Nothobranchius furzeri: one gene and its partners. The protein of the gene in region 3 purifies or fractionates together with the protein of the main gene of each other region. This does not show direct contact. Links are inferred from orthologs where the notes say so. Each region holds a gene or a part of one and is shown on either strand. Other genes may lie near its edges.

The links.
Region 1: the proteins of tfdp1a (region 3) and protein max purify together in Homo sapiens (affinity purification with mass spectrometry; 5 studies listed by BioGRID and IntAct, with this or other methods). This does not show direct contact. The link is inferred for Nothobranchius furzeri from reciprocal best matches to the Homo sapiens genes TFDP1 and MAX.
Region 2: the proteins of tfdp1a (region 3) and transcription factor E2F3 purify together in Homo sapiens (affinity purification with mass spectrometry; 3 studies listed by BioGRID and IntAct, with this or other methods). This does not show direct contact. The link is inferred for Nothobranchius furzeri from reciprocal best matches to the Homo sapiens genes TFDP1 and E2F3.
Region 4: the proteins of tfdp1a (region 3) and e2f2 purify together in Homo sapiens (affinity purification with mass spectrometry; 3 studies listed by BioGRID and IntAct, with this or other methods). This does not show direct contact. The link is inferred for Nothobranchius furzeri from reciprocal best matches to the Homo sapiens genes TFDP1 and E2F2.

What each region holds. Positions count from the first base shown.
Region 1 is NC_091758.1:33,252,805-33,260,316, reverse strand, and holds the end of protein max, read left to right. Parts: intron 1-1,559; coding exon 1,560-1,667; intron 1,668-3,400; coding exon 3,401-3,524; intron 3,525-3,613; coding exon 3,614-3,798; 3' UTR 3,799-4,754; downstream 4,755-7,512. Other genes in the region: ras-related protein Rab-15, read left to right, coding at 5,488-5,626. UniProt on the Homo sapiens protein: Transcription regulator. Forms a sequence-specific DNA-binding protein complex with MYC or MAD which recognizes the core sequence 5'-CAC[GA]TG-3'. The MYC:MAX complex is a transcriptional activator, whereas the MAD:MAX complex is a repressor.
Region 2 is NC_091745.1:42,332,347-42,340,639, forward strand, and holds the start of transcription factor E2F3, read left to right. Parts: upstream 1-2,976; 5' UTR 2,977-3,172; coding exon 3,173-3,454; intron 3,455-3,566; exon of another isoform or gene 3,567-3,749; coding exon of another isoform or gene 3,750-3,761; intron 3,762-5,671; coding exon 5,672-5,786; intron 5,787-8,293.
Region 3 is NC_091754.1:25,781,558-25,788,701, forward strand, and holds the end of tfdp1a (transcription factor Dp-1), read left to right. Parts: intron 1-764; exon of another isoform or gene 765-889; intron 890-1,170; exon of another isoform or gene 1,171-1,317; intron 1,318-1,639; 5' UTR 1,640-1,712; coding exon 1,713-1,724; intron 1,725-1,988; coding exon 1,989-2,055; intron 2,056-2,235; coding exon 2,236-2,357; intron 2,358-2,696; coding exon 2,697-2,818; intron 2,819-2,907; coding exon 2,908-3,073; intron 3,074-3,158; coding exon 3,159-3,305; intron 3,306-3,385; coding exon 3,386-3,454; intron 3,455-3,534; coding exon 3,535-3,686; intron 3,687-3,765; coding exon 3,766-3,932; intron 3,933-4,231; coding exon 4,232-4,310; intron 4,311-4,387; coding exon 4,388-4,526; 3' UTR 4,527-4,738; downstream 4,739-7,144. Other genes in the region: rhodopsin kinase GRK1, read left to right, coding at 7,009-7,144. UniProt on the Homo sapiens protein: Can stimulate E2F-dependent transcription.
Region 4 is NC_091758.1:28,057,123-28,065,569, forward strand, and holds the start of e2f2 (transcription factor E2F2), read left to right. Parts: upstream 1-2,779; 5' UTR 2,780-3,028; intron 3,029-3,218; 5' UTR 3,219-3,273; coding exon 3,274-3,537; intron 3,538-8,447. UniProt on the Homo sapiens protein: Transcription activator that binds DNA cooperatively with DP proteins through the E2 recognition site, 5'-TTTC[CG]CGC-3' found in the promoter region of a number of genes whose products are involved in cell cycle regulation or in DNA replication.

The DNA of each region.
Region 1 (7,512 bases), on a different chromosome or scaffold from region 3:
GATTCATTTAGACTTTGCAGGACAGAAACGTGCACAAAGCTTTGTCAGAGTGGGAAATTATGCTAAAATCCCATTTTTGCTAGGGGTTGTTCTTTCCCCACATTTGTTTGAGTTGCAGCTTTAGATCCTTATGCAGCTGCCGGAAGCGTGCACTTGTTGACAAGTTGAGCCCTTATTGTTGAAGCAATTTAACAAGTGTACACAATAAATTCATGTTGACAGAGTTGTGTGCTAATGTCTTTTCTAATGCCGCTGGATCATGGGGGCAAATAAATCATAATCACAATTTTTTTTTGGTCAATATTAAACAAACTGTTACTTAACACAATTACTCAATGGTATTTATTGTCAGAGACACCACAAGAAATTAAAACAAGAGCATCACATAATTTCCAGACTGCTACGTTATTCATTATGATCTGTTTTGTGTGCTTCTAATCGAATCAACCGATATGGGTTTTCTGTTGCCGATACCGACATACCACAGCAGATGGCCGATATGTGCTGCCATTTGTTTTACAGATTTTCACTTCTGATGACTAGACGTTTTCTGCCTTATTGCATGCTAAATTAACACTAATTTGAGACTACCTGCTAGCAGTAGCTTAGCTGAGTTTAGCAGAGTTGAAGGAAAGAAGCTGTTTAGGCAGGAAAAGGCATCTGTGTAGCAGTCATACTGACCCAAGGATGTGCCTGTTTTTAAATTGGCTCACTAAAGAGGCAAATTGGGCCAATAGTTACCATTTTTTCTATATCAGCCAATGAAACGGTATTGCAAAAGAACGGTAAAGTCAGCCTGATAAATTGGCTTATCCCTAGTTTCCCTAGAAGTTTTCTGGCCATGTAAAACCTAAAATATTTAGGCTGTTTAGTGGTGAAATAAACAAACATTTCTGAGTGCTTAATAAAACAGAGAAAAGCTGCTGAAGAACCTTGGATGTACAAGCACTGACGGAGGACACAAAAAGTTGTTTTTGTTTCCAAGAATTGTTGATGCTTGGAAATAGAGCCATATGTGGAAATATATCACAAACATATCACAAAACTGCATATTGAGATCGTAATTGAAAATTACTTGAGGCATATTGTTTGATAGGCTTAAAATGTGTGTGTTTATTCTTGTTTTGATTTTTAATTGACCACAACATGCACAAGTTTAGCCATGAGAGGAAGTGTGAGTGAGTGATCTGGCAGGAAAGACCAAATGAAAGCATCCTTGCAAACATTTTTATTGATGATTCATTTGTTGTTGAGTTTTGAATATAAACTGTATTAGTCCTGGTCGTTTTTTAATATTGAATTATTTATAAACAAATAAAGACTCATGAAACACCCATTCATTTCCCTGCATTCACTCCACACACACACCGTCAGCTAGACAACGACCTGTGTGCTGTTTGTTTATTTGAATGCAAATAAGGATTGAGATGATATTGTAAGGCCAGAGTAACGGAGTCCAGCAAATATGAGTACATTTTCATGGGATCTGTTTTGTTTTGATTTTACAAAATGTCTGAATTATAAAATTGTTTACTCTTTTTTTTTTTTTTTTTTTGCAGGCAGACAAACGAGCACATCACAATGCGCTGGAGCGCAAACGGAGGGACCACATCAAGGATAGCTTTCATGGTTTAAGAGATTCTGTGCCTTCATTACAAGGGGAGAAGGTAAGGGGAAGTGAATTCACAGTGTGAAGAAAATAATTATATTATTTGTTAGCAATCTGTAGCTATTTTTCACATTTGATGTGTGATTTCATTTTTTTTTTTTATTATTATTGGGATTGCATGTAGTATCTGAGTAATCCTTTTGTAGACAGAAATCAAAGTTATTTCAGTTTGTAGAATTAGGGAAACATGAGCTCACAGTTGAGAAGTTAAATACTAAAACTCACCCCAGTGAGTGCAGCGACTTACCGGACACTTACCCCAAAATTCCACTACCTCCGCTCCGGCACGAACTCTGCAGCAAAATCGGTCCCGTTGTAGTCAATCAGAGCTGTTCCACTACTGCGGCTGTGCGGCGCAGTGCGCCGCCCACCGTTCCGCCATCCGGCAAAAATAGGATCAATTCTATTTTTGACGGACGCCGGAGCACCTCCGCAGTCGATGGACAGAAATCACAACCGCCCAACAGGAAAGGGTGCAAGCACAGCTTCCATTATTTCACAATAAATCAATAACAAAAAGCGTTTTTTGTTTCATATGCACAGGTTTAACAACTTTTAACAACTATCAATGGCGGCAGAACTTTAAATGCACAAAAATGAGCCATAAATATAGTTTCCACTATCAAAGTAGTCACACTTAGTTGATCCAAACACTGCTGATCTGTCAACACAAATGATGGGCAGATTAAACAGTTCATTTCGATGCTTCTCCCACACAACGGGTGTTTGGATATAACTTCTGCGTTTATTGCTCGGACTGTATCGCAAGATCTCGAAAATCCCGCGCATGCCTGTTTGCCCACCTCAGGTCTCCGCACCGGAGCGGAGCCGTTGTAGAGCGGGTACCAGTAAAAATTGAGTTCGGAAGCGAGCGGCTGCAGAAGGCGGGGGCGGAGCGGAGGTAGTGGAATTTTGGGGTTAGGTGTTGCGTAACGTCTGCTAAGCATAGCACGCAGCTAATAGTCATTGTTATAGTCGATGGGTGTGTTTCCAGCGGCTGCAAAGTGGTGAATTTTGCACACGTCCCAGAAGCATAGTGTTCCGTTGCTCTTCTACGTTCACACCTCGAGTTTATTTTTATGCGCTGTTCTTCCAGATTGCGTCAAGTTCAGTTGTTCAGATTGAGTCGGACAGGAAATCAAACACAGGAGCCGTGTAAAACATCTGGAAACTTTCAAACTAAAAGCCACATGCAGATTTCCCATTGTTTTTCTAGGTAAGAAAAGTATGCCATTAAGTTTGACGCCTCCATAGCTGAAGTAAACAGAACAGCTACTTTAACTGCCAAGATCTTGCAATTCTCCCGAGGCACCATGACCTCGCGGGACCAGCTGTGTGGTACGCTTTCACTGCTGTTTGGCGTCTGAAGAGCTTCCTGTGGGAAGTGACGCATCGCTGAGCTTGCATTTCGCACCCAAGTTAGAAAAAAATCAGTTTAATACATTTTTCATGAAATGATGTCACTTTTGCATCAGATGCTTATTTATGCTGAAGCCTTGTCTTTTTTAAACACACCGCAGTTCATTCCAGTGCAATACTCAACAGTTTGTTTTAAAGCCTCATGTAATGGTAACAAGGTAGAAAACTACACAACATTCCCTTGAACAGACATCCATCTTCCCTGTGATGTTCTGGATTTGCGTGCGTCTCGATGCATTTGTTATATTTTGCATTAAGCAAAACGACTACAAAGTTGTCGCATGGCTCTAAGACATTGTTCTTCCTCAACAGGCTTCACGAGCACAGATATTAGACAAAGCTACAGAGTACATCCAGTTCATGAGGAGAAAAAATCACACCCACCAGCAGGACATTGATGATTTAAAGAAGCAGAACGCACTGCTGGAGCAACAAGGTAATGGGAGCAATCCCTAATCGAACACATTCACACAGTAACTGTAACGTTTTACTACACTTTCTGTTTTCATTGCTGATCCCTTTAAGTTCGTGCACTGGAGAAGGCCAAAGGGAACACTCAACTCCAGACAAACTACTCTTCTGACAGCAGCTTGTACAAAAACCGCAAAGGAAGCGCAGTGTCCGCATTTGACGGCGGGTCCGACTCCACCTCCGAATCGGAGCCAGAGGAGCCGCCCAGCAGAAAGAAGCTGCGTGTGGAGGCCAGTTAAACTCCGGTGCCCCCCAGACTCTTTGCATCCACCAGCTCCAGCATCTCTGACCTGTCTTCTTATGCTCCTAACTTCTTAAATCAGTCCAAGACACAAGAAGGAGACAGTGTGTTAGGTGCTGTTACTGTTTTATTAAAACGCTTCTACCTTGTTGTTTCCTCCTGTTTTTGTGACCCAGCAATGACTTTTATTATCCCCAAAGTGAGGCAGCTCAGCAGTTTTTGAAGGACTTGATGCTTTTGAAACCTTGTGATAACATGTTCATGAAATGACACGTGAGCCTTTAGTAAAGCTACAAAACAACTTTTGCAGTTTGTTGAATTGTGAGATTTTAACACCTTTTATGGAATGATAATTGAAAGAATTAGTGTTTTTAATATTCATATAAAAATGTGAATTTGTTTTCAGTAAACATGCCTGGAATGCAAGGTGTGCCCTCCTTTTTGATGTAGGTGACTGAAGTTTTTGACTTTGAGAACTTACTTGAATCACATAAAATCCCCCTTTTCTCCCCATTATATAGTCTATCCATATGGCTGATCTCTATACTGATTTACAAGAGGATTTTCACAGCTTTTGAATAGTTATTCAGAGTTTATACATGTGGTTATGTTTAAAAAAATCACTTAATTGATACTGAATGTTACACAATGAAGTTATAGGACAGTGACTTTAATTTTTGTTCATGGAAGTCCATTTCAGTGTGTAGTATATAACACTGTATACTCCCCAGTGGTGTCAGTTCTGCAATGAAAAGCCTTCCCTTGAAATATTTGCCTGCGCTGGGAATGTTGATCTTAAAAGTTTAAAAAAAAATGTGTGTATGTAATAAATATTTGTTCCATTCCATGGAAATTACAGGTATGTTGTACATACTGCCAATGGTTGTCTTGCAAGTTAAGGCATACCTTTATTATGAGATTATAAATAAAACTATTTTATCCTTTTTGGATGTATTCATGGCTCAGTGTGTATTTTATTAGTTATTTTTGTCACTCTGAAAATGTGTCAAAATTACATAAATGTTTCAGGAAAAGTTTATGATTCAGCAAAAATGTGTTTGCATTGTTTTTCGTAGTTTGTGCTGGAAAGTTAATTTTGTTTTAGCCTTTTCCCTCTACTTTGGAGATGCTTGCATATCCCAGAGTTGTCTTTTTTCCTTCAAATTATTGTAAAAAATAGCTGCCTGGAAGAACTATATTTGTATCAGGTCAAGTGAATATCCACTTAACCATTAGAAAAATGAAATTTCAAATATTTACTTTCTTGGACTGGTAAAACTTCATTCTTATACATTTTCACTTTTTTTTTTTTTTACATAAAATGTAATATTTGTAGTTGAAATGTTACCATTTCCCCTAAACTGACAGGAAGCAAGTAATTGGTTAAAAGATGCTGATTTCCGTGCTGCCTTTGTATTTATGTGGATTTTGTAAGTTACATAAAAATAGACCCCTTGAAAACTCGTCAACAACTAAGAGTTTGAAATAAGAAAATATATGAGAGTATATCTATAAAAAAATGGAGCAAAAATTGTATGAAGAACATGTTTTATCTTCTTTAACCCACTACTTCAGAGCTTGAAGAGGGATTGTCTGAGGGACAGTGAACGCAGCATCAGATCAGAAGACCTGTCAGAAGCTGAGAAGAAAGTCATGCTCTGTGATATATTTTAGGTTTTGGGGGGTCATGGCGAAGCAGTACGATATTTTATTCCGGCTGCTCATTCTCGGAGACTCTGGGGTCGGAAAGACGTGCATGTTACGCAGGTTCACGGACGGAGAATTTGATCCTTCGCATATTTCTACAATCGGTAAGAAGCCCTCAGGCAAGTTTTAGGCGCCGACTGAACTTTTACGCGTCAGCTGTTAGCAAAAACTGACGTGAAAATGTATATTTGTTTATTTTCCCAACAGTTTAATTAGATGTCCTGTTTAAAATACAATTTTCATTTTCTAAACCTAAAAATGAAATGTGTTTACCACAGGAAAATCCCCGTTTCTGGTCTTTTTTAATGATTATTCCCACAAATCCCACTTATGTGGATTGATGAACACATGAGCACCAGCCCCTTTCCTGTTTCCTGGATCAGTGACTTGGGACGTGGTTAGCTATAATTTGTAGATTTAGTTTTTTTCTTTCAAGAGTTTGTTTTTATCAGCATGGGCACAGTTTAACATGGGACTACAGAACATGAAATAATGATGCCCAATAATTATTTTCTGCTTAGCCCGTTTATTTCTGCTCCAGGAAGCAGGAGACATGCAGAGCATGTGGTGCCAAGCTGTCAGAAGGGCTTTGTGTCTTCCATTAATTACTGAGGAAAAGCTGGAGGCTGCAATTCTTCTTTTGTTCTTCAGGGTAGGCAGAAAATGATCAGCATCTCGGTCCTGATTATTGTTTCTGACTTTATATTATATTATATTATATTATATTATATTATATTATATTATATTATATTACATTATATAAAGAGTTTTAAGAAAGAAGAAACTCAGTAACTCGCAGCACTCGGACTAGCCAGTCGTTCAGGGGTCAGAGCTAATCTCCGTTTCTCTAAACTGAAGCCATTCAAAGGCCTACAGCATGCATGAGTTGTTCATGACCTTTCTGTAGAAAGTTACTTCAGATTTAAAGATGATGTTGTTGTACAGTAATTTTAATAGCTCCACAATCTAAAGCAGCTTCACATCTATTAAATAACTTATTGCTCGATAAAATCTCAGCAGAAATGAAGTTTTTCAGGATTTGCCGTTTTAATGATGAAAAACTGGAACGTTTTTATATTTTCTTCAGCATGATAGGTAGTTTTCATCATTATTCACAAATTTGTATTTAATAAATAACTATTGGTACCACTGTGCAAAAGTCTTCATCCGCCTCTCATATATTTAAACTGTGTTATAAATTTAATTGGTCTCAATCTGAAGTTCCTCAGCATTTCAGGCGTGGTTTCTGTTTTTAGACGAAGGCTTTTGCACACGTGCCCACTCCAGCATCCCACAGTGAGGTTTTATGTGTTTCAGAGTAAACCCTTAGCTGTGGTGTGAGAACAATGACCAGCCTTTGTTTGAACACAAACCAGTATTTCTGCAGCTCCTGCTGTTCACTCACATTTCTCAACTTCCTTCCACTGTTACCAAGCAGAAAATCCCTCCCACACTTTATTCTACATCAGCTGCACCCCCTCTTTTTGTGCACAGTACCGCCTCCACTAGTATCACAGATAATGGTCTTTCTGAGCAACAGCCATGAAGTCTCCACAAATTGGATCACGTTAAGAGCGACAAAGTTTTTTTTTATTTTTGCCACCAATTAGTGTTTTTTGGAGTGTTTACATTTTTTAAATGAGTTCCTTATTATTTAAAAAATATTTCTCATGAAGATTTAGTGCAAGAAAAATGAGGTCCAGATATGAAGGGTGGTGGGGTGGAAAGGGCAGGAAATTGGTAAAATGCTATTTTTATTTTGATCCAAAAAGGAAATGTTTTATTTCCTCCAGAGACGTTTGGACAAGGACATCTTTTAGACAGCTGTCAGTGGACGAAGTGCTACATGCTCAACAAACATAATGAGATGTCAGTGGGAAGGACGTCAAACAGGGCAGCTAAGGGTGAAGGCTGGATGCTGGCAGATGTGATGACTGAGTGTGTGTCATGGACAGATGTCCAAAACGGAGACAGAACATGTAGTTAGGAGGACATAAGTGACATG
Region 2 (8,293 bases), on a different chromosome or scaffold from region 3:
TTTTCACTACAGAACATCTATGCCACATTATGTCTTTTAAATTACTAAGCTTATAGCATCTAGGTGGCCAATTCTTGCAGAACATATTTCTAAGATTAAATTAAGAGTTAAAAGTTGTCCATATTTATGTTAGACTGCTCTAACATAAATACATAATCGAATGGAAGGTTATTAAAGCTTTATTTGAGAGTGATTTGGAAACTGTGTTTCTTCTACTTCATTTTGTTATTTTAAAATCAAGCAATTACATTTTACATCAATTTTGCCCTTTAAACCACATCATTTAATTCAAATAATTGAAAATTTTCATTTATCTGATTAAAAAATTTCATCAAAAGAAAAATTCAGCTGTTGAGATCATTTAGTCTGTATTTCAGTGGACTTTTTTAACAAAATTTTATTTTTTTGCATTTGTTTTTATCATATTTGTTTCAGTATTTTATAAATTCATTGTGGAATCAAAAAACATTCATGCTTTTTCTGTTAAAAAAGGACATTTTGCTTAAAATCAGCATCTGCATTAATGTCTAAGTGTGTTTATTAGATATAATTGGGTATGTATTGGTGTTTGAACTTATATTTTTGACTGACATGCTTGAATAGACGCTATTAACCTATGCTGGCTAAAATGTAAATGACCATATTCATTTTGCATTACCTATTATTAATTTAATTAAGAGTAAAATCCCTCTAACTGTGGATGTAGTTGCGCCTTGTTGCCACCAGAGGGGGTATGGTCTGATATGTTTGTGGTGATGTTAGCTAGCTGCTAATAGCTCCTGTTTTAGCTCACTGATTTAATCTTGTTGAACACAGATAATTAACATAGATTTATTGAGTTTTAGTAGTTAAGTAGTTTGTATAATTGAAACCATTCTGGTTTGTTTGTTATTTAGACTAACTACGCTGTTAACATTAACTGAAGCCCCAATGTATTTTAGATGTTATGTTTTATTTTGAAAGATTCAACAGGAAGTGATAATGAGTAGTGTTTTGTTTAGCTTGATGAACATTCCCTGTAGTAACAGCTTTGTCCACTAGAGGGTAAGAAACCCATCTCCAAAACCAGATTTCTCCTGTTTCCATCCTAGTCACGTGATCCCAGGAACTCTATAGGCTCAATATGTGGCTATCAATCAAAAAAAAAATTTAAACTTGAACACAAGTATTTAAATTAAAAGTTTGTTTTTTAAAAAGTAAACACTTTTCTTCACGTCTGGCTTTTTCAATTTTGTCCTTTTGTTGTATTTGGTTTAATTTTAGTTAGTTGATGTTTACACATTTATTGTGAAATCCAAACAAATTAGTGCTTTTCCTGTTCATTACAAAATACGGACCTTTAAAAATAAATTTTAAAAAAATCTGTATCAATTTCTGTTTATTAGATGCCGTTGGGTTTTTATTGGTCTTTACCAATAACTTTACCAGCATACGTTTTATAGTTTCTGATCAAACATATCAGATATAAAACTGTTAGTTTTTCGTTTAACTAAATATATTAAAGTTATATTACCTATTAATTTTATTTTATTTATTAAAAGTAAAATCCCTCTGTCGTGGATGTAGTGTCGCCCTGTGGCCGCCAGAAGGCGTATGATCTGATATGTTTGTTGTGCTGGTAGCTAGCTCCTAATAGTTTCTGCTTTAGCTCCTCGATTTGATCTTGTTGAAAAGATTTTAGTTTTAGTAGGTACGTAGTTTGTATAAGTGATGACGTTCTGTCTTCCCCGTTATTTAGACGAACTATGCTGTTAACGCAAATTTGAAAAGTGTAGTAATTTTTAATGATACGTTTTATTTTGAAGGAATCTACAAGAAGTGTTAATGTCTAATGTTTTGTTTAGCTTTATGAACAATACCTGTAGTGACGGTTTACGTCCGCTAGAGGGCGGAAAATTCTTAATCTCGAAATCCAGACATAAAGGATTGCTTTAACTTTGCGTCCCAATCATCGACATACATATATCCCAATCCCAATGCTCCCGTTGTTCCTGTTCACCACTGCACACAACAGTTGTGTTTAACACTAATACATGAATATGTTTTAACAGTTTTTTAGCTAAATGAAAAGCGTAAAAAGACCCTGTTGCTAACGGCAACACACATTTTATTTTTGAACGAATTTACAGGAAGTGTTTCTACTAACTATTGTAAGTTTGGTTGAACAGTTCTATGTTAATCCCTAAAATTCACAAAATGATTATAAAAAACTAGGAGCTTTTACAGCTTCAATGACATAAGGAGGGTAACAACTATTGTCTTAGACCATTTGACATTTTCATACCTGCCACTGAGACACACCAGCGTTTTAATGTTGTTCAGAAAGCTGTGTTTTACTATTCATTTAGGCTCTTGGGTCGTGCCCTCCATCTTTTCCACGATGTCATTATTTGTAGGGGGAGCTGGTTGTGTCTTACTTATACAGTATTTGTTCTGTTTTGAATTGAACCAAATCATGAAGTAGTTCGGTCTTTCGTTAGTTTATTAGTATATTTGTTTCCTGCTTCATTGATTAATCTGAAATGATTTAATTATCATATATGTCGAATTTCTTCTTAACTAATCTTCAGTGAAAGCAGTTAAGATTTCAGTGAAACAGCATTTATTAAACCTTTGTCACCTGGAATAATTTTGTTTTTTGCTGTTCATGAAGGCTTTTAGTTGCATTTTTCTCTATAACTTGATAACTTCCGCCACCTGGCGTTCTTTCCGGAAACACGCAGCCTGTGAAGAGTGACGTTGCCTGTTTACAACTGCCAATGAGCACGTGTCGAACTGTTTCCTGATCTGCCATTGGTCAGTACGCATCAACTAAGGGCGGGGGCTCATGTTTGAAGACCCAATAGCGTCTAACATGTATATTCCGTTTGAAATTTCCCCGGGAAATCTGAGTTTCGCGGGAGGGCTCTTGAGCGCGTAAACCGTATCCCTTCATTCATCAGGCCGTTTCCTGAAGCCATTTCTAGACGGCAGATACGAGAGTTGCGCTACTTTTAAATCCGTTGCATCTGCCTAAATGCACTTTCTTAATGAAAAATACCTTTTAAAAGCCGATCATTCAGACTTTAATCTTCACTTCAGTCTGATTATTGTTGTAGTCACGACGACGGATTAGCAGCCACGAAGCCTCGAAAGTTCAGAGACAAGAAAGGGGTTACCCCGAGAACGCAAGATGAGAAGAGGGATCTCCTCGGCTCCGGACAAAGTGATTTTAGCGGGCGTCGGGGGCTCTTCTCTGGACAATAACATCATTTTAACAGCCCTCTCGGATCGTTTAAACCCCGGTCAATCCAGTACTACGTATATTCAGATAATAACCACACCACCGCCTTGTAACGTTACACAGACATCAAATGTGTGTTTATCCGAGCCTCAGCTCAGTAACATTTACTCAACTCCCCAACAAGCTGCAGCAAACGGAACAGGACAGCGACCCGCTCTGGGAAGACCTCCGGTAAAAACCCACACGGCAATAATTCACACATTTAGTCCGACAACATGTTAGCCTGCTAAGTTAGCCGAGCTTGTTGTTCGGGCTGCTAACGCTAGCTACTTAGCCAGGGCATTCCCACACGACTCAACCCACTGAAGCTGACTAAAATGGGTTGGTTACCCGGGTAGTTAACTGCGGGGAAGGCAGCGAACTGGTTAAAGTGTAATTTAAGCGTTATAGACATACAGACGTCCCGTTTACTAGCGAGCTAGGCAACTTCGTGGTGCTTTAAGGTTCGCTTCACCTTTGCAGCCAGATGGAAATATCGGTAAGGGATGAGTAACGTTAGCGTTGGCCTAGTAGCTGATGTTCTTTATTTGGGGTTGGTGGGGTTGTTCCCTCGCCTGCCCCCTTTAATGGCTCGTTTTTAGGCTTTCTAGCGAGATGAGAGCCGAGCCTGCATAAAACACGGGTTTGTGCGTAGATGCAACTTCTCCTCAGTTCAGAAAGTTCTCGGTGGATCAAGTCGTCCCTGAAGATGCAACTTGCATCTAGCGTAAAAGTGTTTTAGCATCTAAGGCTTACTAATGTGGAGCAACTAAACCCATCCAGGTTTATGTTCTGCAGAGTTGTCGCTGCTTTACGTGCTTCTCTTTGTTTATAAAGTCACGTTTCTCTGCCAACTAAAGTGAAACTCAAGGTGCTTGCTCTGGAGGTGATTGCACGTTTCCTGTGTTCTCTACATGCACAAACCACATTGTGCATTAAGGTTCGAGCTGCATGTGATTCTTTCTTTTATGAACTAAACCAGTTTGTGTCAGGCTGTGGCCATGGCCAGCAGAGAGGGGGTGAGGGGATCTGCCTGCTGAGAGAAAATGGCTGACACTGGCTCTCCCTCCTCCCAGTCTTCTGCTAAATATGACTAAAATGTTAATGTGAGGAGATGTTGATGTTTTCTGAAGGCAAAATGATTTGTGACTGCATACCAACAGATTTATTTCACTCTGATTGCACGTGGTTGCTTTAAGACACAACTGTGTGGGTTGTTGCAGTAGCAGCACACCTTCATTCTAAGGTTATGAATTTAATTGGGATCAGATGTGGGAGACGTGCAGGAGAAAGGGCTCCTCTGCAGCCCAGCTGCATGTGAAGATGAAGTGGAAGAGGGCAGATATTACAAAGCTGATCCTGCTGGGGAATGTGAATACTTCTGCCATTGGGCCACTTTAAGAGTTGAATGCTGCAGGTTTAGTTCCTGCTATGTGGCAATAACCTGGATTGCTTTTTTTTTTTTACCATTTTGATCCACTTAAAGAAGAAAGATGAATTCCGAATAATACTTTGTCATTCATACATAGATGACATCACTTGACCATATGGAAAACCTCCTATAAAGCTTAACATGTCTGTAGAAGGCACAGTCCATGTTTGGGATATTTAACTTTACATTTAAGAGTTAACATTCATGGACTCGCCCACCTTTACTCACGACGGGGAAGGCTGTTGGTTTAGCGTCCAGGAAACGGCATAGAACGTCTCAATTAGTAGAAGCTAACCATTAGTTGCTCCACCACGCAGCAGAACTCCTCCAGGCTTGAGTTATTTGTGGAGATTAAAGGTTGGTTTATGCTTGACGCATCCGCGAGGTCCGCACGGCTCTGCGCGGAAAAGTTGCGTCATTTTAACAACCACGGCCTTCCACAGCGCCTCCGCACGGCCCAGAATTTCCGCAACGCGCACCTCGGAAAATTTCTAACCACGCGGACGGACGGATGCGGAAAAACATGGCGGACCGGCAAGAACTAGTATGGCAGAGGTTCGTAAATACAGACATTTGTATGATTCAGCTCTCCGAGATCACCGTGATCAACATGTAGTTAATAATTCTTGGAGAGAAATAGCTCGCACTGTCGGAAAAGACGAGGACGCTGTTAAAAATGCTGAAATGCCATGTTGTAAACAGTAATTTCTACTTCTACTATGGTGTAGTGTTGGATGCATGCCGTAGAGCTCCATGCTGCCCCCTACAGTTTGGGAGAATATTGGCTCACCACAGAGACAAGCCGCACAAACCATAAACGCTGCGAGTTGTGAAACGCGTTCCATCCGCGAGCCGCATCACCGCGCGGAAAGTGAATGCGTCAAGTATAAACCAAGCTTAAGCATCAGCGTTCCTACTAGAGACCACTGTCAGTATTAAAACTATGAGTAAATTCCTGTTGGTGTGCTTCTTATAAGGCAAAAAGGCGGTTGGCTCTTGATGATTCGGACCACCAGTACCAGCCAGAACCAGCCAAAACTCCACGAGGAAGAGGAGCAGCAGCCAACGGGACACGGATAAAGACGCCAAGAAGTAAGGCTCGGGCACTTGGAGCTATTTGTCACTATAGAGGTTGTTGTGGCTGTTTAGGGGATTGTGAAAACTCAACTAATCAGTAATTTTCCATTTATTTAATAAACCAGATCAAAAGCGATGCGCCCTCCAAACAGCATTTCTGGTTTTGCTGGACCTCCTGTGGGCGCTTTAACGCACACATCTGTTAATTTTATCCCAGGGTTTCAGCTACAGGGTAGACCCTGTACACGCGTAGCTGGGTGTCTCGCCAAACAAAGGTACTTTTCTACGTTTTGGCCCATTGTCCACACAAAAGTGAAGATGAACACAACCAAACGCGATAAAAAAAAAAAAACTCCCACCAAAGTGGAGATTTGTGAATTTTGGGATTTGCTCTGATGTGCTTGCACCCACTCACTTGTTTTTGCAAGCTCAGTTTCTGCTCTAGAAGACCACAGGTGAAAGACCACGTTGAGGACGGTTATTGCGGTATAGACGGATGTTGAACTTTTTACTACGGGCCAACCGGTCGCGCTTGCTGGCGAGGAGCGAGACAGTTTAGAGCTTCACCCACTTTAGCGTTAACGTTGTCAATCTGTGTCAGCTCTATGGTATTTGATATAGCGCCTTCTAGCATCCTGGAACCCCCCAAGGCGCTTTACATCACTATCATTCACACACACACATTCACACCGGTGAGGATGAGCTATGATGTAGCCACAGCTGCCCTGGGGGCAAATGACAGGCGAGGCTGCCGAGCACAGGCGCCACCGGTCCCTCCGACCACCACCAGCAGGCAGTGGGGGTTAAGTGTCTTGCCCAAGGACACAACGTCAGCGTCAGACTGACAGCTCAAACCTGCAACCTTCCGGTTACGGGGCGAGCACCTAACTCCTGTGCCACCGTCACGCGTGGATGAAACGTGCTCGTAAACAACTCTGAGTAATGTCGGTTACACGCACCTGGTCAGTAAAATATGCCAGGTGAGAGTGAAGTCTTATCAGCGTTAAAAGCTCGTTAACGCCAAATCTCTTAAATGCCGTTTGTTTTTTGACATGATGAACACTTAAGGCTTTGTTGACATCTCCTGTGATTTTCACCCACAGTCCTCCCTAATTTTAGCTGTTTGTCCCTTTGGGTCAGGGATGGGGAACCCGGGTCCATCGAGGGCCGCTATCCAGCTGGAGCAAAGACATGCAGGACACCGGCCCTCGAGGACCAGGGTTCCCCACGCCTGCGTTGGTAAGATAGATCTAGTCTCCGCTCTGAGCTGGTGCGCACCACGGTGGGTCAGACCGGCATGGATAAGCTGATCTGAGCGCAGCTTAACAAAAGCGAAAGAAATTGGATAAACCTCCTAGATTATTGTGATATTGACAAAAAAAAAAATGCAGCAGAGCATTCAGTTATTCAAACTCCTGAAGTAAAAATAACTGCACTGTTGGTTCTTTTTTTTTAAACACAGAAAAGTTTTCTTTTTACCTTGCTGACGGTTTCGTTCGCGGCTGCAAACGCAACATATTCTCACACCCAAAGCGTCAAAATATGACGCGCCTGACCAAGCCTCAATATATGACGATTCGGGATGCCCTAGCGCATCAAGGTCACAGTTACTGACCTTAAGGTTAGGATTGGGGTGAGGGGAAAGTTAAAATAATGTCCGTGTGACCGCGGGCGTCAAACAGTGACGCCAGCGGAGCCACGTGTCCCTGATCGTCGTGTCCCTGATCGTCGTCTCCTGACGCGCTGGGGCGTCCCGAATCGTCATATATTGATGCTTGGTCAGACGCGTCATATTTTGACGCTTTGGTTGTGAGAATGTGTTGGCAAACGTCCTCAGAGCGTCAGCTGCAAACGAAACTGTCAGCAAGGTAAAAAGAAACCTTTTCTGTGTTTTAAAAAAGAAGCAACAATGCAGTTAGAAAAGCAACACAGCAAGAACGTACCAAAGATATAAAAATAACTTCTATGGGCAAAAAACATGAAAAATGAATCAGGAAATCAGAAAGAAATGTTTGTGTTTTTACGTTTTTCACTTGAGTTCACACCATTTAGAATGTTGTTTTCTTCGCATTTAGCTTGTATTTTATTTAAAATATCTTCATCTTTATTAATTTATGATAATTTTTGATGCGTAGTTTGAAAAAAGAACCTAAACATTTTTATTTATTTCAATAAGTTATGAAATTTAAATGTAGTTTATAATTATTTATACAGATTTTTATTCTGTACTCTTTAGGATTATTTGCTCTGCTATTCATCTGGTACGTGAGATTGTTCAAAAACATTGTTGCATGTATAAACAGAAGAAAATATATGGCGGTATTTGTTATCGCATGTGCTTCAGAATTTATCACGATATAGATTTTAGGCCATATTCCTACCTCCTAGCTGTTCCACATCCAAGCAATGTCTTTCGTCAAGGACGATTCCAAAGATTTGGGGAGCTGGTGCCACCTACAGGCTTGGCAGGGCAATGAACGTGCCGAAAACAAGATGGCAAGGGTGGAGATTCAGTTTTACAA
Region 3 (7,144 bases):
GTGATTAATTGGCTTGAAACATTTCAATGAAGTTTTTAACTTTTTCAAAAGTGTACTTTTTGCACAAAAAGCTAAAATATCGATTAATTAGATTTGTTTTGTTCTGATTTACTAGGTTGTTGTGACCAAGAGGCCCATGAATGAGATCAAAACTACTGAGAACGTTTAAGAGAATGTGATCAGTTGTAGCAGATAATTGCGGAATCCCAAAATATAAAATTACTTTACATTTGTATAACTTGTTTATTTCCGATTAACATTATATATTAAATTTGCTATTTCAACTGATTCCTTTTGCAGGCCCAGGTCCCTGAATTAATGGTGTCAATATAGTTTTTTATTCACTTCTTTGACTTAATTACTTTAATATGAACTCCTTTTAGAAGAAATGTAGATCAAATCTATGGGCTTGATCCACACATTATGTTGTATGTTTATTAAATTGAAATGTAGTACCTGTTAACATACTGTTGTTTATTTACCATAATATGCAGTTTTAAAATGTTAGGTTTAATTTAACTTGAAAACTGGTTAGTGCATTATATTCATGACAAAAATGTTGTACAGCTCATTTTGCTTGCTTTTGTGATCAGTTTCTCTGATGAGATGAATGATGTTTAATGGTTAGTCAGCTGCCAGACTCGACCAACAGGCAAATCCTGGTATCAGTTTTTGACATAGCGACAAAAAACTGACCTGAGGAAAAACAACTCTTTAATCATATGCTTAAGTTCTTTAAAGGAATAACTTTGATTTATGAATAAAATAGTTTTAAAAGTACATTAGGATTGCTGAGTTTGTTTCCTGTTTGGATGGGATTTAGACCTCCTCTTCCTCCATTCTCTAATGCCAACAACAACAGCCGTCGAAGAGACAAGAGAGTGCACTCGTAAGTGCACGGATTCGCAATTTAAACCCCTCTAATCGTGCAAAACGCGCAGTGCTTTTTTCCAATATCAGTTCTTACTTAAAGAAGGCTATAATCTGCAGCTCGGACCAGAAATCTCTGAATTTTCTGCCAATCGTGTGAAAACGTGCATAAGCTAACTAGCAAGCTAAGGAGCAGCAGGCTGTTAGCAGTAACGGTTAGCCGGCTGTAGTCAACAAAAGATTGTTCATTATTACTGACATGTGGTGTGAAACCTGCTTCTGTGGTGGACTGATTTACTATCTGTAACTATATTTTAATCTCCGTGGAGAAAAATCAACAGTTTCGTCAAAGTTGGCACGTTTTCGTGACCTGTAGCAGAAGTTGGACGATGCCTCTCCTCCGGACGTGATCGGTACCTGAAGTAGGCCTTGTGCACACATAGCTTGGTAAAAGTTGTGGGCATCAAGTGAGGGTTGACTGTGCTTTTTTGTGTTTACATCTAAAGGCTAATGACGCAGCGGTTTGTACAATTAGCTGTAATTTCCGCCAGGTTTGTTTTGCTAACTGAGGAAAAAGTGGAGTAAACATGATGATGGAATTAGCTTAGTGTAGTGTGCTGTGCTCATAGCCAACCATTGAAATGGGCCTGGGTTCATAAATGAGTGCAAAAGCTCATTCAAATCCATCTGTGCCGTGGGGATTTATAGGAAAATGTTATAAATAAGTGAAGCTTGAAACTTTTGCTCACAGCTTTCATTTCTTCTGCAGGGGTCTGAACACTTGAGTGACAGAAGGAACAATTTTTTAATCTGAACTAAACTCCTTCAGGTCCTTTGGGATCATGGCTAAAGATGTGAGTAATTTCCCTCAATATTTTCATCCATATGCACATTATATCTTGTAGCCAGATGAGATGGTTCTTGTTGTTTTAGCATACCTATTATTCTAAACCATCATTAATGTTTGACAATAAACCCAAATTGCAAAATGATCCAATTACCCATTTGGTGTAATTTAAGGAGATATGCACACTTAAGCATCCATTATTGCATCACTACTATCTTATATTATTTTTAATATTCTATATTTGCAGCATAATGAGTTTTGTCTTTTACAGGCTGGTTTGATTGAAACAAATGGAGAGCTGAAGGTTTTCATCGATCAGAATCTGAGCCCTAGCAAAGGTATAACTGAACCATCTTTTGACTTTGTTTTTGTTATTTTCTCCCAGTTTACACAATCTATTTGCACTGACCACCAATCCTGCAAAAATATCGGTAGAACCGATTAAAAGTGAACTATGGGGCTTTGAAGTTTCAACCAGGAGTTTTCCTCATTACCGATGTTCTTGTGTCTTCTCTCAGGTGTCCTGTCCTTGGTTACTGTCCAGCCTACAGCTGTCCCCGGGGCCAAGCAGCTACTACCCAAAACCCTTGGGCCGTCTAACGTTAATGTTGCCACACACATGCAACATTTGCCACACATGGTGAGTGCGTGTGCTCTGTCTGACACTTTTCCAGAACGGTTACATATGTCCTGCATGCTGCTTTTGTCCACACCTCCTTGCTGTTGTGTAAGCCCCCTCCCATTACTGCTGGGAGGTGGAGGCACTTGATCCTAAGCTTATCAACTCTACAGTCAGCAGGATTACACCCATCATCTCATTATGTAGAAGAAATGTATACACAACGGAAATCAGCTTACAGATCACCTGTCTCCTACATCAGATTATTATTAATTTGGGACAAATTGTTGCTTTGATCATTCATCAGATGTATTTGCACGCACGTTATTGTCTTACTGTCTCATCCTCTGCTCTCTTTAGGTTATTGGAACCCCTCAGAGGCCAACAGTATCAAATACTATTTTAGTAAACAGTCCACACACACCAAGTTCTCAGTTCCTCACTCAGAGTCAACCCGCTGATGCTTCTCCTTGGTCATCAGGGTAAGACCTCGAATAGTTCAGTCGTTTTTATTTCTTTTACTTTACACAAGTTTTAGAAGCAAACTATGTGTAACTTGTTCTGTAAACAGAAAACGGGGTAAGAAGGGGGAGAAGAATGGGAAAGGCTTGAGGCATTTCTCCATGAAAGTGTGTGAGAAGGTGCAGAAGAAGGGAGTGACCACCTACAATGAGGTGGCAGACGAGCTGGTGGCAGAATTCAGTTCTTCAGACAACCACATGTCGCCGAATGACTCGGTGAGCGCTGCAGCTTTTATTTTACACACAAAACTCAGAGACGTTTTTTTTTTTTTAACGCTGACCCACGTGTTTTCCATCCCAGCACGTATACGACCAGAAGAACATTCGGCGGCGTGTTTACGATGCGCTGAACGTGCTCATGGCCATGAACATCATCTCGAAAGAGAAGAAAGAAATCAAGTGGATCGGCTTGCCCACTAACTCGGCTCAGGAGTGCCAAAATTTAGAGGTGGAGATTCAAATCAAAGGCTTTTGTCTTCTTTTTACGTAACAAGCCGTTCTGAACAACTATCTCCGTCATGCCTCCAGGTGGAGAGACAACGGCGACTGGAGAGGATTAAGCAGAAACAGTCACAGCTTCAGGAGCTCATACTTCAGGTGGGAATGGCGATAGAGCTTCACCAACACCTCAGCGATTAAAGATGCATTTGTCTGATTAAATGTTTTATATTTTACAGCAAATAGCCTTTAAGAACCTCGTTCAGAGGAACCGACAGACAGAGCAGCAAGCAAACAGGCCCCCGCCTCCTAACTCCATCATCCACCTTCCCTTCATAATAGTCAACACTAGCAAGAAGACGGTGATCGACTGCAGCATCTCTAATGACAAGTACGTGATCATCTGCGTACATTCGAACTGGAGAATTTTAGCCCCAATTTATTGTGCGTCTTTTTTTCTCCGTCTCCAGGTTCGAGTATTTGTTCAATTTCGACAGCATGTTTGAGATCCACGATGACATCGAGGTGCTGAAGCGCATGGGCATGGCCTGTGGTCTGGAGGTGGGGAAGTGTTCAGCAGAGGACCTGAAGGTGGCACGCAGCCTGGTGCCCAAAGCTCTGGAGCCTTACGTTATCGGTTCGTACGTCATGGTGTAAACGGCCAGGGTTTTTGTTGATGCTTCAGGACAACGTTGAGATGTTGTCTCTTTTAGAGCCTGATATGTGTTTAGGGACCTCCTCCCCTCAGTAATCCTGGGGTAAAGGAGCTTTTTCTGGTTGCAGGAAGCCCTCCCTCTGTCCCGAAGCTGCAGTAATAGTTAGGAAAGGTCTAAACATGTCAAGCAGCATGTTGCAGGTTCTGACACGTACAGTGAAGCGTCTGTGTTCACTCAGGAACGATTGGACGTCTACATTAAATATGGTTCCTTCTCACAGAGATGGCGAAAGGTCCCATCAGTAACGTGTACATCACAGGAGGATCCTCAGCCAACGGCGCTCGTTACACTGCCAGCAGGTAGGAAGTCGTACCTAAGATGGGAACGTTTCCCGTTTCAACCTGGTCCCTTTTTAACCCGGTTTCTCCGTTTCTAGTGACGGCTGCACCGACGGCACCATGGCGTCCAGCTCCAACGACTCTCACTACAGCGGCTCTCGCGTGGAGACCCCGGTGTCTTACATGGGGGACGACGATGATGAGGATGAATACGAGGAGAACGACGATGAAGACTAACCGCGCTACATGTCCCCACTCCAACAAGCACAGTCCTCCAAACAGCAGTCACAGCGGCGATCTGGTCCCTTTTAGTGTGTGTGTGCTTCCTTCCCAAGCCCCCCCCCGTCCACGCTCGTGTTTCTGTCTGGTCTTCTCAGGGGTGTAGATGAATTCTGAAAGAACAGAGGAGTTGTTTGTTTATATTTTCCTGTTTATTTGTTGTTTCCACCCCCCCGCTGACTCACATGCTCCTGCACCACACCTACGATCTGCGGGAACCGTCGTCTGTGATCCTTTTTCAACAAGCCATCCCACTCTCCGCTCTCTGTAAAAGCTGTTGCTGTTGGAGAATGTAAAGTGTATTTGTTTGAATAGTTATTATTTTACTGTCACGATGGATATTATGATCAAAATGTTCCGTTAATGTCTGCTGTGTTAGCGCGCCGTGGATCCTGATGGCTGTTGGGGCGGTTTGAAATAGTTTCTTATTCCCATTGCGTTGGGTTGGCTTCCGTATGTTTCGTAGGCAGCTGCTTTCTGATCTTGTTAGTATGTTTTTTTTTTTTTTTTTGTATTCTGGAGTTGAGAAGCTGTCCCATCACCACCCTGTTGACGCCTTTGGTAGTGTTTACAAATAAACGGCTGAAGCGAGGTAAAGCTCCTAGGTAATTCAGCTTTGTTAATTACATATAAATCCTACCACCATTGTAGCTCATAGTGTCCTTTAGAGGCCAGTGGTGAAGATAGACCATCGCGATTTATTGACGTAACAAAAATGTGTGGTTGTATAGGTCTTTGTGTAATCCCTTCAAAGATCGCCCTTTTAAAACTGAGACACATGTACTGACTCTTCCAAATACTTTTTCTGTAATCTAATATAAGTTTGCAAATTAAAAATATAGATTGTTTTAATAAGTCTGTATTTACGGTTTGTGTACATCATCATCAGCAGGTCATGAAGGACTAGTCTCATCTTTGGACAAGTTATTATAAAGTCGTGTGAATGAGAAGAGCTTCCACCCATTTTTCATATTTAAAGATGTGGTTCACTGAAAACCTAATCTGTCACTTTGAGATTTTCATACAGGCTGAACATTAAAACAGTCTCCTAGAAAATAGATGGTGAAGTGCTAGGATTTGAAGATCCTCACATCTATGGCCTCACCCATCTTGGCGCCCACAGGAAGGCTGTTTTTTCTTTTTTTTGCAGCGAGGAGAGCGGAGAGTGGCCAAGGCTCAGTACTCGCACTTCCACACTTGCACCCTTCAAATGTGTGATCCCAGCCAGGGGTGGGAGTGTTTAGGGTGTCCCGATTTTCAAGTGCAGAATGATGCACACTTCACTGAAGTCTGCTTCGATGCTGACTTGGGTGAAGGGTATTTACCCATAATCCATTGCTGCGGGAGAAAAGGCTCAAGTGCCTTTTCTGAAAAAATGCATTTTCAAATAAAAGTAGTTAATTTTAGGACGTTTAACTGATGCTCTGAATGTTCAAGACAAATCGGTAATGAATGTAAATTTATTTCAAAGAATTGTTTGTTTAAAGTTATTAAAGTTTTTTTTTATTTGCACAGCGACCTGCATCCCGGCATGCTTTGCAGTCGATGACGCAACGCTCCCTGTCCCAATTCGGCAGTTATTTGCTTGTGTACCAGTCAAACCCTACTGCACACTTCCTCCAATTGCACTTGACAGAAGACTGTAGGGCGCAGTGCGAGTATTGGGATTAGGCTAGTGTCTTGGTGATGGTGACTTTGCAACATGGCTGAACACTTTCGCTAATCAGAAGCGAGGTGTGTGCATATCATTAATAATAAGTAATCTTGCTGTTTTCTGCACCAGCAAACTTCTGCATCTCAGAACAGGATCATCATAGCTTTATTTTTTTAATGACTTTTTAATAAACCACACCATTATCTGTTTTTAGGTGGAGCATAGTTCACTCTTCTGAAGATCCAAATAAGTAAATAGTACATTTTATTATGTAATATTTCAGATTTTTATTCACCAAGAATGTTTCTGAAGAGCCTAAGCTATTTGGCTAATTCTGCATCAATCACATTTTAACTCAAGATCTGTAGAATGAACAAAGTTAAAGACATTTTTGCACAAATTTAAACAATTCCAGGGGTTTTAGCAGGTCACCTCCAGGTTAGTTTTAAACATCAGCAGAAAGCTCCTTCTGATTTTATAAGTGACTATCACTGCTCTGAGATGTGCTTGCACACTTTGTCTGGGGCATGGAGGTGTTAATGGATTACTGAAAGGTGTTGACTCAGGTGTGTGTGTGATACGATCCTCAAAGTGTGCTCCAGTCTAGTTCAGACACCAGTCCTGAGTTCCAGTTTCCTCCTTCCCTCCTTTCTGATCTGCTTTTTGTTTTCTAACGCTTGACTTGTCCTTCACCCTGCTCATACAAAAGCAGCGTTTATCATCCTCGACTGACGTCCCCCTGCGATGTCTCTCCTCTCTGTCGCCTAACGTTCACCCACCGTCAACATGGACATCGGAGGACTGACCACTGTGGTGGCAAACTCTGCGTACATCAACGCTCGTGGAAGCATCGATGGCTCGAACCCAGCAGCCGCTCGGGATAAGAAGTACCATTCTCGCCTCAAGCTACCCCACATCACCG
Region 4 (8,447 bases), on a different chromosome or scaffold from region 3:
TGTTCAGAGAGAGTCCACATGTAAAGCACATTTTGGGTTTTTCCTCAAAATCAGAAAAAGCAGGGCCTGATGTATAATATGCAAGAGGACAATAGAAGACAAACCTGGGATAACGCACTGCCCCATGCTATCACCCAGCTAACACAGTAGCATGTGGCAAAATAATACAACATGCTTAAGATAAATTTGAAAACATATAATCGACATTTCACCAGAACACTTACAAACGCTTTTGGAAGTTGCAGTTATCAAATTTGTGCTGTAATCTGACCTAATATAACAAGCTAGCATTAGCATCAGCTACACGCCAATTCTGGTAATTTCACTTACATTGCTGCATGTAAATGTCACGTTGTGTATGGCTGATACTTGGGAAACGTAGAAATTGAAATGGAAACTGCAAAAAGCTGCTTGTGATAGAAAAGAGGGATGGAGAAGATTTTGGATCAAATTATGAAAATTCATTTGCCAGCCAACTGCAAAAACAGGGCTCATTTAAAAGTATACCAAAGGATCTTTTTCTTCCGGGTGGATCACCTGAACCATTAGTCCGCTTAACTGTCAATCATTCTGGTGAATCATTCATGCAAGGCCGTCGTCATACGTTGCCGGGTAGTTTTCTCTTCCTGCGCAAAGCGAAGGTTGGGATCCCCACAGAGGCCTCGGTCGAAGGTTTTCTGCTCGACAGGTAAGCTGAAGTTCAGCATAATATTTGGAGAAATTCATTTCAGTTTACTGCTAGAAGAAGTTGGCTGCAAGGCCGGCAGCTACTTATAACGAGGATAACTGGGCTTTCTTTCTCATGTGCATTTTTTTTTCCCAAAATGAGGAGTGGGCGGTTCTTGCCTGAAATTCAGAAACATCCTCCGCTATACCTTTAAAGTGACAATGTGAATTTTCTCTGGTGATGGGTGGCAGTACGTACATAAATCATTGCAAGCATGCTGTATTTTTGTGTTTGAGTAAGACCTTACTGACGGATTTTGTCCTCACTGGCTCCTCCTGTCACAGGAAACATGGCGTACAACATGGCGTCACCCAGAGACTTAGACCCAATTCCAAACTTCCCACTGCACCCTGCGGTCTTCAGCAAAGTGCACTAGGAAGAAGTGCACAGTAAGTCTTTGAGTGTGTAGTACACAGGTGTGCAAATAATTGCCAAATTGGGACAGCGACCATTGCATCATCGACCATGAGGCATGCAGGGATGCCAGTGGCAGGTATTGCTACTTTAAAAAAAAAATCTTTATTAATCCATAAGGACCCATGGTGTCACAACCAATTTCAAACATCTGCAAAATTGCTTCTTGAGTCAAATATTCAAGTTTGAAAACCCCAAGTGACATTCTATCCATACATGTATTAAAATATTTTTTACATGTTTATTTTATTTAATTTTTTTAATGTATTTATTCCAGTCTTTTTTCTAATTCAAAAGGGGTTGGGTTCTAACTTTCAAACAAACAATTGACAAAATTTACATTCATTGTTGTTCACATTAAATCTTAGTCTAAAATTTTCAGAGCATAAATAAATATTAATTGTCTTAAAATGAACTTTTGTTTGAAAATTCAAATTTTCAGAAAAGGCACTTTGTTCCATTGTTCAGCCTTCTTCTCAACATTCCCACTCAGCATTGATGCGCACTTAGGGAAAGTGCGGATCAAGGGTGCAAAAGGGGCATGATCAACTTCCGCACTTGAGGATCGGGACACCCTATGCCTCATGCCCCTGGACTGGAACACACAATTGAAGGATGCAAGGGTGGAAATGTGAGTATTGGGATCGGGCCGTAGACCCGCTCCTACGTATTTTTGTACCAATTTTTATGGTTATATGTTACAAAGCTGTCAATATTTTTCAACACCATGTCAGCTACAATTTTTCCACTTTCACTTGTTGACGATTTCAAGTCAAAGTGGTCTCATTTTTTTTTTTAAATACACAATTCATTTATAAAGACCCCATCAAAGTTTTAGAAATGACCCTTGTTTGGAATTTAGCCCAGATGAAGTGATGACAAAGGACTAAGAGTCTACTTTGTCTTGTCCAATGAGGGTCAAGTCATATGGCTTGGATTGTCTGGCTGTGAATGTGGGGGAGGGAGTGTTTTCTTTCAATATCTCTTGCAACCAATAAGCAAGAGTGGTCCTGGGTGAATCCAGTTATCACTGACAGACTCACAGCAGCACCTTATAGCTGGCCATACTATACTCTCATCATATAAGAAATAATAAAACTAAATTTCCATGTGTTTTTTTAAGTATAAACTTTTTTACCTTTAAATCCCCCTTTTTGTACATTACTTTTATTATGAGTAACAAACTGCACTAAAAAGCAACTTTTTTCTTAATGAGTGTATGACTGGATATAGGTTATTATTAAATATGTATATTAATCTTAAGCTAAATGTTATAAGTGCTTTCTTAGCATTTATAAATGCTTTCTTTCTGAGTTCATCCATGCATCATGCATTTAAAGCAAATGTTGAAATGATAAATACAACTTTTGTTCAATAAATCAGCCTATATGTTTGAAATTCTTTTATTGCAATAAGAAAATGATGTAAAAATGTGTTTTTTATATTAATACATTTGAACAGGACACGATATTTTGATTTCTCTTTGTCTTCAAGTTCATCCTCACCAGAAACCCCTCTTGTCGCACTGACGGTCCTGTCTCTTTAAGAGCACCAGCCCCTGCTCTGCACAACTGTTCCATGCAAATGTGACAAGCCGAACGTGCCGGTAGCCAATCAGAGGCGAGCTCTAACCGCGGGAGATCCAAATTTCGCGGGACGGAGTTTGGCGCTAAAAAAGACTGCTGTTCCCCAGCTCTTGTTCCCTTGTATGGAGAGAGGAGCCGTGAAGCGGACGGACAGCGGTCTCGAACTGGGTCGTGTTCTGCTCCAGACGGAGTCTCTGTTCCAAACCCGATCCTGAAGACACTCGGAGAAATATCTGCTCTTCCTTACACCGGATGTTTTAAATACTTTACCTATATAGGAAGCGTTATTTATTTATAACCGGTAAGGCACCTTTTCAGTATACTTTATGGCAGGATAAATGACTAAATTGATGACTATTATTAAAAGACGTGTTTATTAGAAGCTACTGACGTGCATTTTTAAGGTTATTTTAACAGCTCGTACTTGTTATTGTTCTGACGTAGCAGCTAGCTTAGTAGCACAACAACTCATCTCTGTGCTCTGCTCGCAGCTCCCGTCTCTCCTAACCGGACCAGCCCGGGTCACGTTTAGTTTTACTCGGGAACATGATGCGGATGCCTAAAGGCGTCTCTCCAGCCCCACCAGCGGGACTCTCCTGCTCTCAGCAGCAGCAGAAGCTGAAGGTTTTGTCCAAGTCGGACTTCTTCTGCACCGGACTGTCCAGCCCACCGATGAGCTCCATCATACCAGCCGGCTACTTCACCCAGATCTGTAACACCGCCGCGGCGGAACAAAGAGCCAACAGCCTGTACTCAACCCCCCACGGACCCGAGGCGAAGCCCATCAGATCATCCTCCGGGCGGCTGCCGGTACATAATCAAACACACCCTGCAGAACAGTGTTTTACACACGGTTTAATAAGCGATCTGTTGTGTTCAGGGAGCTGTGTGCGTGTGGGAGGAATAACAATTAGACTTAGCATTCATATATGATAAGCCAACAGAGCGGCCAGTGTGACTGCAGCAGCAGCTAGTGGAACTGAATGGAGGGCTTCTGTTTCTCCTGTAAAATAAAAAAAAATGTGACGACACATCTTTGTTTCCCCTCTGGAGGCCAGCATGCCTTTGATGGGTTTTAAGAGGGAGGCAACATGTTAAAGTGTAGGGGTCCGTGTGCAAAATCTAGTGTTTATTGATGCAATCCCACTTTTGAGCATCTGCACCTTTGCTTAAGCTGCAGATCTTGCTAAAGGGGTCAAAGGTCAAAGCAAAGATTCCTATAATTGATGACTATAGAAGACACAACCACACTTTGCTTTTCTTCTATTTTGCTGGTGTAAATCTTTCAGGCTTGTTTATCGAGTGTGAGCGGGGTCTTCTGATCTCATGTTGACGGTGACACTGTGACCACTAATTGGCCCCTCAAGAGGATTAAAAAGACAGTGCAATAGACTACCACCTGGCTCATCGTATGCTAAGGTGAACTGTGCCAGACCAGCCTGGATGTGTGTTAGGGATTTTTGCATCTCTTAGCAGTGTTTGCACATTTTTTTTAAAGTTCTGGACGTCCCGGATTCACATGAATGGAGTGAACCCGTATTTCGGGGAAGAAAATCTTGATGGATATTCTGTTATGGGTAGGGAATCGTGGGCCGAAACACGTCCAACTTGTTCACTTTGTAAAAGAATGCAACTGCATGACTAATAGTTCAGTTTTTATTTCCAGTATCTTCCCTCACATGGATGCAGAAAGTATTTATTGATGCATTAAAACACACCTCAAAAGGTTTGCAGAAACAAAAATCACATCTTACTTGTGTTTTTGAACACGGCTGCAGGAAAGCGTTCAGTTCATCGATTCTTTGGAAGAGACTGGTTGTCTTTACAGTCTCGCTGACTCGGCAGCTTTCTTGCATGCTCAGTTAGGCTTCAATGATTACAGGAAGCGTTCCTGTTCAAATGCATCTCACTTCCCTCAAGAGTAACAACCACCACTTCTTTTTGTGGCGTTTTGACAAGCAAAGTCCACCTAAAAACCTTCAAAAACAGGCCAGACCAGCAGGCAGATGCTGAAGACTCCTAAATATGCTCCTTTATGTGTAATCCAGACTGACTGAGCATCGTCCATGAGCTTGTGAGGGTTTGTAGACTGTTGGAATTCCAGATCTTCCCTGAAATTAATGAATGTTTGGGATCAGACTGACTTAAATTCTCTGGAGCCAAACATTGGTTCCTCTCTACAATAAAAGCCAGAAATGATTTTCCTTTTTATTTGTTATGTAAATCTCATACAAAATGTGTAAAAATTGACATCAAGTTTATTTTTACATCTTGTAAAGACAAATCGCCTCCCTAGAACGAGGTGAGACGACCAACTGTATGCAGTCTTCAATCATTCTGCTTGTTTCACCCACCACTCCCTTAAGCCGGGCTGCGTTCTGCTCAAGAGGGAGTTTTGCATTTCAAATCCCCCCACCCCCCACCCTCCTATCAGCAACCCAAACACAGACCCGCCCTTCCTCATAGAGGAGCCATATTGACCATCAACAAAGTAGCACCTTTATGTTTAAGCTGCCGTTGAGGGTGAGGTAGATCTCCGTAGGCATCCTGTAACTTGTCCTGGTCTGACCGGTTGGGTTTGTTGGCTTGATCAGACGTGTGTGTGTGCGTGAGTGTGTGAGAGACACACCGGTGGAGTCATATCTACTGCAGATTTGGGTTGATTTTCATGCTAAAATGTCACTAATAACATCAGTTGATGCACACAATTTCTGAAGCAGAATCCGTTTTTGAACTAACTGTTAAACCTTCACTTTGTGCACTGGTCAGTGTTAAAGTCAGACAGCTAAATAGTTAATGTAGAGTATTTATTATGCAAATGTTATTAGTGGACGTTAAAATACGTTGAAATGAAATTCTGCAGCAGCACCGGGGTGCCCAAGAATGGGCCTAACTTTAAATCGGCTCTACAAAGGACGAGTTTAAAGGACATGTTTAAAAAAACTGTAAATATCAGCCCGATATATTGGTCTAGGCCTACTAAGCAGTATAGCTGCAGGGTGAAATGGTTGGTTGCCTTCTCACCACGCGTGTGCGCCTCCAGATGTTCTAAATATGTTGACTTGGTTCTGATGGCTATGCAGTTTTAAAGACACGGTTCAGACATTTGACATTTGATTAGAGATAATTAAAGGTGGGATAGATGTTGTTTTATTAATTTTTTTGCTGTTCAAGCAAGCTACATTTTGAAAATAAACATTCCAAAGGTCCAACCCCTTTCCCCTAAGCCACACCTCCAGAACACAGGAATGTGCAATGCTTGTTGTATATAATCGCCAAATCACGACAAGAGTCGTCTCAAGGTACTTCACACAGTAAACATTCCGGTACAGGTCAGTTCATTAAGCCAATCAGAAAAAAGTTTCCTATATAAGGAACCCAGCAAATTGCATCAAGTCACTGACTAGTGTCATACTAAGCAAGCATGTAGCGAAAGCGGAGAGGAAAACTCCCTTTTAACAGGAAGAAACCTCCAGAGAATCCTGGCTCAGTATAAGCAGCCATCCACCATGACTCACTGGGGATGGAGAAGACCGAGCACACACACACACACACACACACACACACACACACACACACACACACACACACACACACACACACACACACATACCAAGTAATGTGTCTATGGTCACATTGTGATTTCTTAGTAAATATTCTATTTAGTGAGAGATGAACTTTATTGTATCTATCCCAGTAAATCCATAATTAAACAAGTAAACTAGTAGTAGCACATTTGTCAGGAGAGGAAGAATGTTGAAGTGGTTAGCTATTAACAGATGTGTGGTGCAAGAGAAAAATAATGAGTGAATAACCTTTTTTTGTCATTATACCCTATGGGGTAGATTAATACTAGAGTCATTACTTACTCCTGACCAATCAAAGTCACAGAGCCAGACCCTAAGCCCACCCCTCTCTAACCTAAACAAACTAAGGCCCAATCCCAATACTTGCACTGTGCCCTATGGTCTTCAGCAAAGCACACTAGGAGGAGGTGCGTAGTAAGGCTTCAAGTACAAAGTACACAAGTGTGCAAAGTATTGCCGAACTGGGACAGGAAGCACTGCGTCATTGACCGCAACGCAGGTCGCTGTGCTACTTTAGAAAAAAAATCTTTCTAACAACTTTCAAACAAAAAAACCAAACAATTATTTGACAAAATGGACATTCACTTCTGTGCACATTGAATCTTTGTCTAAAACATTCGAAGCATCAGTTAATCGTCCAAAGATGAACTGCTTTCAGTTGAAAATACATATATTCAGAAATGGGTGCTTGAGCCTTTGCTCCCGCAGCAGTGGATTGTGGGTAATACCCTTCACCAAAATCCACATTGATGTGAACTTGGGTGAAGTGCGGATCAAGGGTGCAAAATGGGCGTGGTCAAATTTTGCACTTGAGAATCGGGACACCCTACGCACTCACGCCCCTGGACGGGACCGTGCAATTGAAAGGGTGCGAGGGTGGAAGTGTGAGTATTGAGATTGGGCCTTCATGTGACTAAAACCAGATGTAGCACAGAGGACAGGTGGTGGGAAAAAGTTTACAGTAGTTCATCAGCTCGCTAATGCTGAGACGAGTCTGATAAAAACCAACCACCAGGTCTGGTAAAACTACCTGTTTTATCATAAATGATGAGAGAAAATGGCCAGAGCTGCACTTCAAATAGATTTTCTACATTTTTAGTTGTCAATGATTATTGGTATCATGATGGTCAATATACATTTTTATATAAAACATAACGTCTGAATAATAGTTATAAAACAATGTTTTCGCATAAACGCAGGAGTAGGGACAGGGGCTTAATGTACAATCCATTTTCTTTTCCCTTTGTAGAGGATTGTGGCTGTGTGTGTGATATTCAAATCCACCCTCCACCAACAGCACACACACACTTGCCAAACTGCTCCAGATGTCCCCAGTCAACAGGTGGACATGTCACAGGACACGTTTGGACAATGTGTGGCTTCACTCTCAGGAAGAGGCGCGTCCACACGTGGTGTAGCCTTTCAGAAGTCAGTTGCTCAAACCTTCACCAACTCGGCTCTTTGGGCTCGTGCTTTCACAGAATGGGTCTCTGTTGGTGCTTATCTAGTGTGTGTGTGTGTGTGTGTGTGTGTGTGTGGGGGGGGGGGGGGGGTGTCAAGGATTGAGTCGAAAGGACGTAAACTCGGGTTGTGAATGTGAGGAGAATTACTGATTTACAAACGTCACTGGATTTATCGTAGATTAGCACAACAGTAGTTCAATCCAGGACTTTCACTTTTGTTATGAGACGCGTCGTAAAAACGATCATTTAAGGCTAAGTGGGCCCTGCTGAAGTTCAGAGGTCACATGTGCTGCATTACAGCCACTCTGTGTGTGTGTGTGTGTGTGTGTGTGTGTGTGTGTGTGTGTGTGTGTGTGTGTGTGTGTGTGTGTGTGTGTGTGTGTGTGTGTGTGTGTGTGTGTGTGTGTGTGTGTGTGTGTGTGTGTGTGTGTGTGTGTGTGTGTGTGTGTGTGTGTGTGTGTGTGTGTGAGAAACTGGTGAGTTCCAGGAAGTCCCTGGATCCAGTCAATGACCTCTGCTCTTCCTGAGAAGCCCTAGTCACACACACACACACACACGAGTCAGCCCCTGTAGAAGGGCTTGGGGAAGTGTGATGAGAGCACTTGGGGACTTGTTGGCACATTTACGACACGCCACTTTCCCACCAGCCCCTGTTTTAGCTCCTGTCTCG